Linked DNA regions of Cricetulus griseus. The protein of the gene in region 3 interacts with the protein of the main gene of each other region in a pairwise test. Links are inferred from orthologs where the notes say so. Each region holds a gene or a part of one and is shown on either strand. Other genes may lie near its edges.

Region 1 (3,654 bases), on a different chromosome or scaffold from region 3:
AATATTCATAATTCCTGAACATATAACAACTTGACATGCAGAATAAATTATGGTTTAGAGTAGAATTAATTGAGGTGACTACTCAGACATTGCCCCAGCACTGTTTTTTTTAAAATTATTATAACAACTAGACTGACTGTGCCATTCCTTTTTGCTTGTTTAATATAAAGAAACAATAAACTGGAAAGAAGACTGGGGAAGAGTCCCATCCCCAGCACCCAAATCCAAAATTATGTGAGAATGGACATTCTGGGAGCAGGCTGTGGATATATCATTATGTATTATCTATATTATATATGTACATATATGCACACAAATATGATTACTATAGATTGCATTCTGAATTGTTAAGTACAGGAAAAATTAGTAGCAATGCTATGCTATTAAACTGAGGAATTGGTGGAGGGAAGCATGATTCCTTTGCTTAACAACTGTTTATGTGTAGACCCTGTTGATACATGCTCTGAACTGAGCAGTCCCCAGAACTCTTGCCTGGATCTGTTATCCCAGAGGAATGTACCCAAATGTTCCTGAGAACATTTAGCATCTGTGTGTGTGTGTGTATGTGTGTGTGTGTGTGTGTGTGTGCGCGCGCGCACGCATGTGAGTGTATATGTGAGTGAGTGTGAGTGTGTGTGTGAGTGTGTGTGCATGTGTTTGTGTGTGCATGTGACTGTGTGTGTGCATGTGAGTGTACATGTGAGTGTCCATGTGTGCATGTGAGTGTACATGTGAGTGAGTGTTCATGTGTGCATGTGAGTGTACATGTGAGTGAGTGTTCATGTGTGCATGTGAGTATTCATTTGTGCATGTGAGTGTGTGTGCATGTGAGTGTGTGTTCATGTGAGTGTTTGTGTGTGCATGTGAGTGTGTGTGCATGTGAGTGCACATGTGTGTGAGTGTTCCTGTGTGTGTGTGTGTATACGGCACACGAGTGGAAGTCAGAAGACAGCTTGCAGAAGTCTGTTCTCTCCTTCCATTGTATGAATCCTCAGTGTTGAACTCAGGTCATCAGGCTTAGCAGCAAGCACCTTCACTCACTGAGTCATCTACTTTGCCCCAAGTCTGGTTTTAATTATGTAAATATGCAGTACAGGCCTACAATTTTTTCTATTAATTTCTCTATTTTTCTGCAGATGAACATTTTCCCCCTACTAACAACTATTTTTAAGTGTTCTATTGATTAAACATGACATAATAGTTTATTTACTTATAAGATTAGTGGGTATAAAAATGATGTATTTTCTCCATAGGTATAATGAAGCTTTTAGTCATTTTTGAACATTTGTTAAATTCCTTTTTTGTTTAATCAACATTACTTAATTTTTGAGATTTATTTTTATTTTATGTATATGGGTGTTTTGCCTGCCTGCATCTATGGGCACCACATGTGTGCAGTGCCTGATGTGGCCAGAGAGGGAGACAAATCCCTTGTAATGAAGTCACAGATGGTTGTGAGACACCATGTGGGTGCTGGGAACTCAACCTCAGTTCTCTGCAAGAGCAGCAATTCCTCTTAACTGCTGAGCCTTTCTCCAGCCCTGATATTGTTTGTTTAATAAGTAGTCATTGAAATTTCAGTGCATTTATAACAGTGAAATGGAAAAGAAATCTTAAAACTGAGTTCTTTTTATCTCCCTACGACACGTAGATTGATAGAGTATTACAATTGGCAGGGACTCAAGTGCTCACTCAGTTGTGCTGTCATCATGGAGATGAGGACCCTGGGCTGAGAGACAGCACCACATCTCTGACCAAGAGGCTAATAGCGTGAAGGTGCTTGTCAGCTGAGCGTAGATCTCCTGTCCCTGTTTAGACTGATTTACTCTGATCTCTCATCATAGGTCACGGACCACCCTGGGAAAGAAGAATTTTGCTCACCTCCTTACACTCATTATGAGGTCCCCCCCACTTTCTATCGCTCTGCCATGCTCCTTAAGCCCCAGTTGGGACTGGGTGCAATGTCACGTCTCCCATCCACCAAGAGCAGGATTCTGATTGCAAGTCAGAGGTCTTCAGCAAGTGCCATCCATCCACCCGGACCGATAACAACAGCTGCCAGTTTCTACGGTTCTGATCCTTCAGGTAATTAAGTCTAACAACTGCTCTCTTTTCCTGGTACACATATAAATATCAACTATAAAATATTGTGAGTATCTACTTATGAACGACTCTGATTGGTAAAAGAAGCCTTTCCCCAACCCCCCATCTGTCTGGAGACACAGATGTTTTTGAGAACTCACCTGATGCAGCTGTCATCTTCCATGCCACCTTCACAGCCGTGGCCGCTGTTATCACCTCCTGGCTTCTTCCAATTTCTCCCTTCTTTAAAACTCCTGTAGACTCAGAAGACTTGCTCTGAAGGTTAGTTTTATTTTTGGGGGGAAGAGAGTATCGATGAGGGCTTGTCTAGATAGGTTAGCCTGTGTGTATGTCTGTGGGAGATTATCTTCATTATGTGAGTGGATCTGGGAAGTCCCAGCCCACTGTGGGCAGCTCCATTACCTGGGCTCAGGGTCCTGGACTGTATAGGATGACTGCCAACTGGGTTCTGCTTATTTTATATTCTTGAAATAATATTAGTATTTACATTTTTGTGAACAACAAACTGCATATTATCCTTAGGACAACTGATTTGAAATGAATTATTGTGTAAAAGTATACTTAAATGTTAAAAAAGCATTTATTATCTTTTTTATTTTGTGTGTATAACTATTTGCCTGAATGTATGTGTACCACCTGCATGAAGTATCCACTGAGGCCAGCAGAGGGCCTCAGATTCTCCTGGAACGGGCGTTAACAGAACATTGTGAGTTGTCAATGTGGATGCTGGGAATCGAACCCTTGTCTTTTGGAAAACCAACAAGTTCTTTTAACCTCTGCCCCATCTTCCCTCCCCTGTTTGGACTTTGTTTTCTTAAGTCCAACTAATTTTCTAGGAAATTTATAGCAGTTATTTTTCTTGGATGTTCCATATACTTGATTATTTTGGGGTTTTACCATTTTATTTTTGAGCCAAGTCTCATATGTAGCCCTGACTGGCCTAGAACTCACTCTACACACCAAACTGGACTCACCTTACTCCTGTGTCAGCCTCCTGAGTGGTGGGATTACAGATGTGAGTCACCATGCGCAGTGACCATTGCCATTATTGTTGGACAGAAATGTTTTCATCTCTTTGCTGTTTATTACTTTGTGAATTGTCATGACTCAGAGAGTTACTTCTTCTTCTTCTTCTTTTTTTTTTTTTAATAAGCTTCTGCCTTGGTAGTTTCCATGATAGCTGTATATCTTAGTGGGAATACCTGTACTTAGAGCAGGTACTAGTCCACTGTAATTCAGTCAGTAGGCAATTGTTTCTGGTAAGCATTTCAGTGCTGATCCTGGTGTGGTGACAATGCAATTAACACACAAAAACATCCTGCCTTCAGGGAGCTTAAATTTTAAAATATGGGGCTGACTTGTTAAAAAAAAAAAAGAAGTCAGTAAGTTACACTGTCAGTTGCGATAAATAAGCAGTGCTGAAGAAAACGAAACGTTGGTGAAGGAGGAAGAAGGGGGTTTGTGCAGGAAGGGATTCTTGTTTGAACAGAGTGATCAGGAAGGCCTTCCCAAGAAAGTGTCCTGTAAGTCAATCTCAAGGGAAGATGAGGG
Region 2 (4,230 bases), on a different chromosome or scaffold from region 3:
TAGTTGTTGCCTTTGTTCAGTATCAGATCCGGATGTTAATAATAAGCCGTTCTTGTATTACAGCTCTATTAAGTACAGTGAGATTTAGTTTAATCTATCACACTGTTTTGTTTCAGGGTTATTTCTTTAATACTATGTTGTGCCATATTGATTATGCTGAAGATACACACTTTGACATTTTTCAAATAGAAATTTCAGACTTATATTCCTGTTGCTTCAATTTTTTATTCAACATTGGGGAAAGTGGCATAGAACGGATAAATGAATCATTGGAAGTTCAAAATATTTATAATTTAGTTCTGAAACCTCACTAATTATGCCGTTACCTATTCCCCAGAATCTACCTGTTTTAATGTGTAGTCTTGGCTGTCTTAGAACTTACTATGTAAACCAGGCTGGCCTTGAACTCAGAGATCCACATGCCTCTGCTTCCCAAGGGCTGGTATGGGAGGTGCATCACAATACTCCGCTGACTTCTTTATTCCTATAATGAGAATGTTAAAAGATTTGATTTTGGGAGGCAGAGGTAGGCAGATCTCTGTGAGTTCAAGGCCAGCCTAGTCTCCTGAGCAAGTGCCAGTATAGGCTCCAAAGCTATACAGAGAAACCCTGTCTCAAAAAACCAAAAAAATATTATTTTCTGTGGTACATATAACTGAATATAAATGTTAACTGTCAACTACAAAATTAATAAGATGATCTAACAATGTTTATATTTTGAATTGAGGGAAACAGTTAGCATAAATCCTAATACTTGGAATATAAGTTTAAATAACCCTGTCAATAATACTTTTTGCTACTCACATCAGGTTTCTTTTCAGTCTGTGAACACCAGCTAGTATAATTCTCTTTTAAAGGGCTGAGGAGAATGTATCCTACACAATAGTCTTCCCACTCAGGTCTTTGAAGAATTGTTGGTCTGGGAATTTAACATGGAGGTAGAGTATTGAAACAAAAGAGTGAGGTGGCATAGCACTCACACAAAGTAAAATATTGATATAATCTTTATTCTTGTAATTAAAATTCCTTTAATTTTTTAAATTGGTATTCAAAGCATTAGATTTTAATGTTGCTTAGGAGAAAAGATTATTGAAACATACTTTGTTTGAAAAATGTCATAATGTTATTAATATAGTCTATGTTTTACTTGCAAGATTTAAAAAAAAAACCCTTGACACCTCTTTAAAATGACATGTTCTATTTGTTTGATAGGGTGGCCTGAAAAACAGCAAGCATGAATGCACCCTGTCTTCACAAGAATATGTTCATGAATTGAAATCAGGTATCTCAGATGAGAAACTTCTCAACTGTCTGGAATCTCTGAGGGTTTCCTTAACCAGCAATCCTGTCAGGTAGGCAGTTCTTATCATTTTTATAGGATTCATACATTTTGTATTGTATATAGATATTTCGTATAATCAGATATGTTACTTTAACCTCATGATTTTTCTGTTCAGAAGTGTATTATCATCTAATAGAAGAGCATTGTCTGATTATCAAGTTCTAAATGTTTAAAAACATCTGTTTAGCTATTTTGATCTTTACTCATGTATGATTTTAAAATATAGGTAATTGTTTAATAGTTATTTCCTTTTTGAGAAGGAGTTAAATCTAGAAGCTAAATATTTACATTTGCATATTAGTCTATTTGTTTACCAAGAAAATTGTTATATATTTGCGAAACACATTAATTACATTGGTTTAAAATTTTATTCCTTTTACACTTGTGATTATACGTATGTATATAATTTCATATTATATTTAAATTTTACATAGACCACGTTACACACAAACATACACACACATTTTTGTAACTTTGAGATAGCTCAAACTACTTTTAAACAAATAAAGAAATGGAGACTATTAATTAATTCCTTACTATTTTATACATTCATTAAACTATCTTACAGATGTTTATAAAGAGGCAAGTTTTTGATAGCAATGGGTTTGAATAATAATTCTTTATTGACAATAACAGGCTTTAAAATTAGTAATATCCCAAATAATGTCTTATGAAAAAAATAGATTTCAATGTAATATTGAATCATTCTGTGATCTACATGCTAAATTATCACCGTTTTGAGTTCAGAATTTACTAAAATGAGTATATAAAGACAATGTAATTTTATTAGTGTTTCCCTTATATTTTTCAGACTGATATCTAGTTCATAAAGCACTGAAAATAATTTAAATCTCAGTCATTTAGGTGGAATCAGGTATAAATTCGATATATTTGTTATTTAGAGTCATATTTTTGATAAAATTTGAAAGTTATAATTTCATAATAAAGACAGTGTTAAGATGTGACTTGCTTTAGGTTAGAAGCATTTTTTAGTTGTTGCTATCTTGCTATTTCTAAAATGGCATGCTTTTAAGATTTAGTGATCTCACGAAAAGATTTGAGATCTCTATTATTTTTTTATTTTGTACCATCTCAAATTTGTAGGCCAGGCCAGCCTGGAACTAACAACATCTTTCAGGCTGTGTTTGAATGTTAAGTAACCCTTCTGCTGTGGCCTCCGCAGTGCTAAGCCACCACAGCCAGGTATGGATATGACCCTAACTGTCCTCTGGGATTTTGGGCACATATCTGTACAGATGCACACACACACACACACACACACACACACACACACACACACACACACCTGCACAGATGCACACACACACACACACACACACACACACACACACACACACACACACACACAGGAATAAAAATAAAACAGAACCCCCCTCCCAATTGTGGCATTCAATAATGGAGTGCGTAGTACATATTTTCCCTACTTCAAATGCAACTTTATAAAGATAGCAGACAGTGCTTGATATTACATACTTGGGGGGGTTAAGAACATATATATATATATGTATATATATATATACATATATATATATACATATACATATATATATATATACATATATATATATATATATATATATATATATATATACATATATATATATTTTAATTTGAGGCAAGGTCCCCCTGTGTAGTTTAGCTCAGGCTGTTCTCGAACTGTGTGAACCAGGTGGGCATCAAGCTCTTGGAGATCCTCCATCCTCAAATCTCGCGAGTGTATGTATTACAGTGGCTGGACAGTTGGCACGCTTTCTATTTTTAGAATTCTGCATAGCAACCAAAAACATGCGGAGGAGGGCTTTGTAATCTCGCGAGAATGTTGGGTCCTCATCTGGTAGCTGATTGGCTGTTCAGTAAGGTCTTGAGGCGTTGGCATTCTGCATTAGCTCTAGTCCGAGGTTGGAGGTGCCATCTTGCTGAGATTCGAGAGACCGTCGACAAGCGAGTTTCTGTGCAGCCTGTGAGCGAACACCTCTTGCTGTCGAGCCATCAAATCCTGCCAAGACTTCAAAAGATGATGAGTAAGAGTGGGTTTGGGAGTAATGATAGCTTTGTTGATGATGATGGGGCTAACAGGGCAAGCGGCAGTGATGAGCAAGCTGGAGGTCAGGACCTGGGTCTTCCCATGACCACCTTGACCAGGCCTGGCATTCACAGCATTGTGCCTTGCTGCATAAGCCAGTTGCTTACTGCTGTTGAGGTTGACAACGTGTTTAAGATCAGGGGCTTTGCACTTCACCGGGTCTCTATCGTGGGGATGATCATGGAGGCCAAGAAAGCTTCGCGGTACATGATGTACAAGATTGATGACATGACCGCAAAGGCCATCGAGGCCAGGCAGCCCCTGTCGCGCGAGAGGGTCAGGCAATGTGTGATTCCCCTGCCAGTTGGCGTGTATGCCAAAGTGCTTGGTGTCCTCCAGTCCTCGGAGGGAACCAGACGGCTTGGGGTTCTAAGCATCCGTGTCCTGGAAGATATGAATGAGCTGTCCACACACACCTTGGAGGTCGTCAATGCCCACATGATGCTGGATCAAAGTCGTGAAGGTGTGTCCACAGGAAGGCACCTCTTGGAAGAAGCCCGAGCCCGAGCAGCCGCCGCCAGGGTTGCTAAGGCAGCTAGTCTTAATTTCATCCATTTGGAGGTGCTGCGTCTGATTCAAGAATGTCCTCACCAGGAAGGGAAGGCTATTAGTGAGCTGCGAAGAGACCTCCATGCACTTACCGATGAAGCTGTCACTCAAGCTATCGAGCATCTGATTTCCACACAACGCATCTCTGCCACCTCGGATAGTGAGTACCTTAAAATTTCAGGCTGAGGCAAATAACTGATTTTGCGGTTTCTGAAGATGTTTTTGTTCTACTGTT
Region 3 (3,654 bases):
GGGAGCCAGGACCATTACAGAGAAACCCTGCCCCGAAAACCAAAACAAATAAAATAAAACTTAGTAGGGCTGGGCCTGGTGCAGCTTTTAAGGCCAGCACTAGAGAGGCAGAGGCAGGAAGATCTCTGTGAGTTCCAGGGCTACATAGTCTCAAATTAAAAAAAAAAAATTAGTTAAAAAAACAAACAAACAAAAAAACCTAAAATAATTGGAAAAGTCTGGTGTAAGCTAGGCAAAGTGGCCATATCTGTAATCCCAGTCTTCTGGAGGCTAAGGCAAGAGGATTACAGTGAGCATGAAGCCAGCACCAGCTACATAGGCTGGCCTGGGCTACAGAGTGAGCTTAATCCTGGAGCCTCTGTATCTGTAGCTCCTGACATGCTGAGCAGGTAGATGAGTGGATGGAGTGGGCAGTGCCAGGAAAAGGCCGGAAGATGCCTTCCTTTTCTCACACTCCTCAGATGCTATCTGATTTAGTTACTTTATTGTAAGTTTTAAAAAAGCTGGCTTTTAGTTTGGGGGTGTGGTGGGTGATAAACTGGGATACTCAGCCCTCTCTCTCTTTTTTTTAAGATTTATTTATTTATTATGTATACAACATTCTGCCTCCATCTATGCTTGCATGCCAGAAGAGGGCACCATATCTCATTACAGATGGTTGTGAGCCACCATGTGGTTGCTGGGAATTGAACTCAGGACCTCTGGAAGAGTAGTCAGTGCTCTTAACCTCTGAGCCATCTCTCCAGCCCCCCCTCTTCTATTTTTAACTTTTGAGACAATGTTCATTAAGGTGCCCAGTTGGTCTTTAACTTGGCTTCCTCCTGCCTCAGACTGCTGAGGCATAAAATGCATGAACTTAAAACTTTACATAAAACTAATAATTCATATAGGCTAAGTACCCCTGTAGGTCACACGGGTATGAAAACAGACTTATCACCCAGACTTCTTTTATTTGAGAAAAGTCATTCCTTGGATTTTCAATATATAAACAAAATAATGTGCTAAATCTTCAAACCTTGAAACTGGATGCCATTACTCTTTAGAGCTAAGGGAAGCATGGATGCACACTCCCAGAGCACCATGGTTCCTGAGGGGAGTCCTGTATGCCCTCATTCACCAGCTAAGAACAGTCAACTATAATAAGCTCATAAAAATCCTGAAAGGCTGCCCGGAGCCTGCAAATCTGATATGAAAATAGAGGACCAGGCAAAAGAGATAAAAGACGATTGCACTTTAAAAGTCAATTCCAGTTATTTCTGTAAAAGGACGTTGTGGGACTATTTTCAGGGACCTCATGGATAATTTAAAAAGGAGTTGAGGGCAGAACCAAACAGAACTGAGGACAGAAAGAGTAAGAAAAGCACATCAAAACAAATGGCAATTCTTCTTTGTGGCCTTTGTAAGTATATAACCAATATGGAGGAATGGGGGGAAAAAAGGACACTGTATGTCGATAGATGTCAGTTTCCATGGCCTAGAAAGTACGGCTCTTACTATTCTTGGTTTTAACTCACCAAGTGTCTTTTTCTTATATTTGGCATAATCAGTAATCCATTCTCTCTCTCTCTCTCTTTTTTTTTTTTGGTTTTTCGAGACAGTTTCTCTGTGGCTTTGGAGGCTGTCCTGGAACTAGCTCTTGTAGACCAGGTTGGTCTCGAACTCACAGAGATCCACCTGAGTGCTGGGATTAAAGGCATGTGCCACCAACGCACGGCAACCCATTCTCTTAATGTATAAAAAGGCAAATTAGTAAAGGTGAAATTAGTAATTTTAAAAATGTGGGTTCCAGTCATCTCAAGAGTCCCAACACATACATGCACGCACGCGCACACACACGCGCGCACACACACACACACACACACACACACACACACACACACACACACACACACACACACACACACACACACACACACACACACACACACACACACACACACACACACACACACACACACACACACACACACACACACACACACACACACACACACACACACACGGTCTTGCTATACAGTCCAGGCTAGCCCTGAACTCACTATGTAAACTAGCTTGGCCTGGAACTCTGGGTGATCCTCCTGCCTCAGCCCAAGTACTAGGACAACAGGCAGGGAGCATCACCATAGCATGTAAAGTGACTTTAATACAAAGTCACTTTGTAAGAACCCCATCTGACAGCCTGAAATTGCAAGTACCCCAGATGTGCACTATTCTAAGATCTGACTCAACGATTCTAAAAAGTGTTTATTGGTTAACAAAGCACACCGACAAGTTATTTCAGAAGACACCTTGCAGCTCTAGACTGCAGGCACACCAGCTCTGATGTGTAAAAAGGGTAGTGGGGACAAGGGTGGTGTGGCTTCTGCATACAGCTGCTTTATTCTCCTGTAGCATTACCCTTTGCTAGACACGCAGTACAACGAGGACTCATATACAACACCCAAAGAAGCAAGCAACAACAGCTCAGTGGCATAACACAAGCACTATCACAGTGCTAATAAACAAGTGCCAACCTTCTCTTTCAGTTCCCCAAGGTATGCAGTGTTCTGCCCAAGGATAGCCTCCGCAGACTCCTGGAAACATGTCACCCACTGATTCTCTTGAAAATCTGCAACATTTACCTAAAAAACACAACACGCTATTATTTTAGCAAATAACACCAAGGAGAAGGGAGATTACCTTTTCCTACTTAAAGTAACACAACCCCCGACTTTCAATGCTTTGACGGAACAGTTCCCCTCATATGAAGTATACCGTTTCAGTCATCATTTTTCATTTTTAGTACAGTATCCAATAAGTCACACAAGTTGCTCAGTACTTTTATCATAAAGCAGGCTTAGCTGTGCAAATGTTCTGAGCACACTGAAGGGATTCGGGGTTCAGCTAGGGCCCACTGTTAAGTGCAGGTGATGCTTTGCCCACCCCATCCCCCCATCCCCCCCCCCCCCACAGGGTTTCTCTGTGGCTTTGGAGGCTGTCCTGGAACTAGTTCTTGTAGACCAGGCTGATCTGGAACTCACAGAGATCCACCTGCCTCTGCCTCCCGAGTGCTGGGACTAAAGGCTTGTGCCACCACCGCCCGGCCACTTTGCCAGTCTTTTAAAAGCTGTGACAGATGCAATGGGAAGTTTCAAATGTGGTCTAGTTCAATCTTCTAGAGATGTGATTTCAGATCTAGGAGTCGTCTCAACTAAACCCTAACAGATGTGGAAGCATGCAGTTAACACTGTGCTCCCCTCTCTAAATGCAAAAGGCTTTGCACTGGAAGTTTCGAGTGAGCTTCCAGCAGTATAGTGGGCTCTTTTCATGTTATTTGACTTACTATTTATTCTTTCTCTCTCTCTCTCCACACCTGGCATCCTTTAGTTTTTTGAGACAGCATATAATGCAACCCAATCTGCCCTCAAACTTGCTATGTAGTCAAAGCGGGCCTTGAACTCTTCCTGCCTCCACACCCCACCACCAAGTGCGGAGAGTACAGAGACATATGCCACCATGTTCAGCTATTTTGTTTTTTAAAAAACAAAATCTTACTGTGCAGTCTAAACAGGCCCAACTTACAATCTCTCTGCCTCAGCCTCCCATGGACTGAGTTCACATTTACACATTTTTTTAAAAATTTACAGTGTGTGTTGTATTATGTGCATACAGGTG

Evidence for each region.
Region 1: the proteins of Rpa1 (region 3) and Mtus2 interact in binary tests that used the Homo sapiens proteins (3 or more experiments, as listed by UniProt). The two-hybrid records come from large-scale screens. The link is inferred for Cricetulus griseus from reciprocal best matches to the Homo sapiens genes RPA1 and MTUS2.
Region 2: the proteins of Rpa1 (region 3) and replication protein A 30 kDa subunit-like interact in binary tests that used the Homo sapiens proteins (3 or more experiments, as listed by UniProt). The link is inferred for Cricetulus griseus from reciprocal best matches to the Homo sapiens genes RPA1 and RPA4.

Annotation. Positions count from the first base shown.
Region 1 is NC_048597.1:83,941,310-83,944,963, forward strand, and holds part of Mtus2 (microtubule-associated tumor suppressor candidate 2), read left to right. Parts: intron 1-1,844; coding exon 1,845-2,085; intron 2,086-3,654. UniProt on the Homo sapiens protein: Binds microtubules. Together with MAPRE1 may target the microtubule depolymerase KIF2C to the plus-end of microtubules. May regulate the dynamics of microtubules at their growing distal tip.
Region 2 is NC_048604.1:49,771,004-49,775,233, reverse strand, and holds the start of replication protein A 30 kDa subunit-like, read left to right. Parts: upstream 1-1,352; intron 1,353-3,125; 5' UTR 3,126-3,179; coding exon 3,180-4,181; 3' UTR 4,182-4,230.
Region 3 is NC_048600.1:88,753,438-88,757,091, forward strand, and holds part of Rpa1 (replication protein A 70 kDa DNA-binding subunit), read right to left. Parts: intron 2,622-3,654; coding exon 2,514-2,621; intron 1-2,513. UniProt on the Homo sapiens protein: As part of the heterotrimeric replication protein A complex (RPA/RP-A), binds and stabilizes single-stranded DNA intermediates that form during DNA replication or upon DNA stress.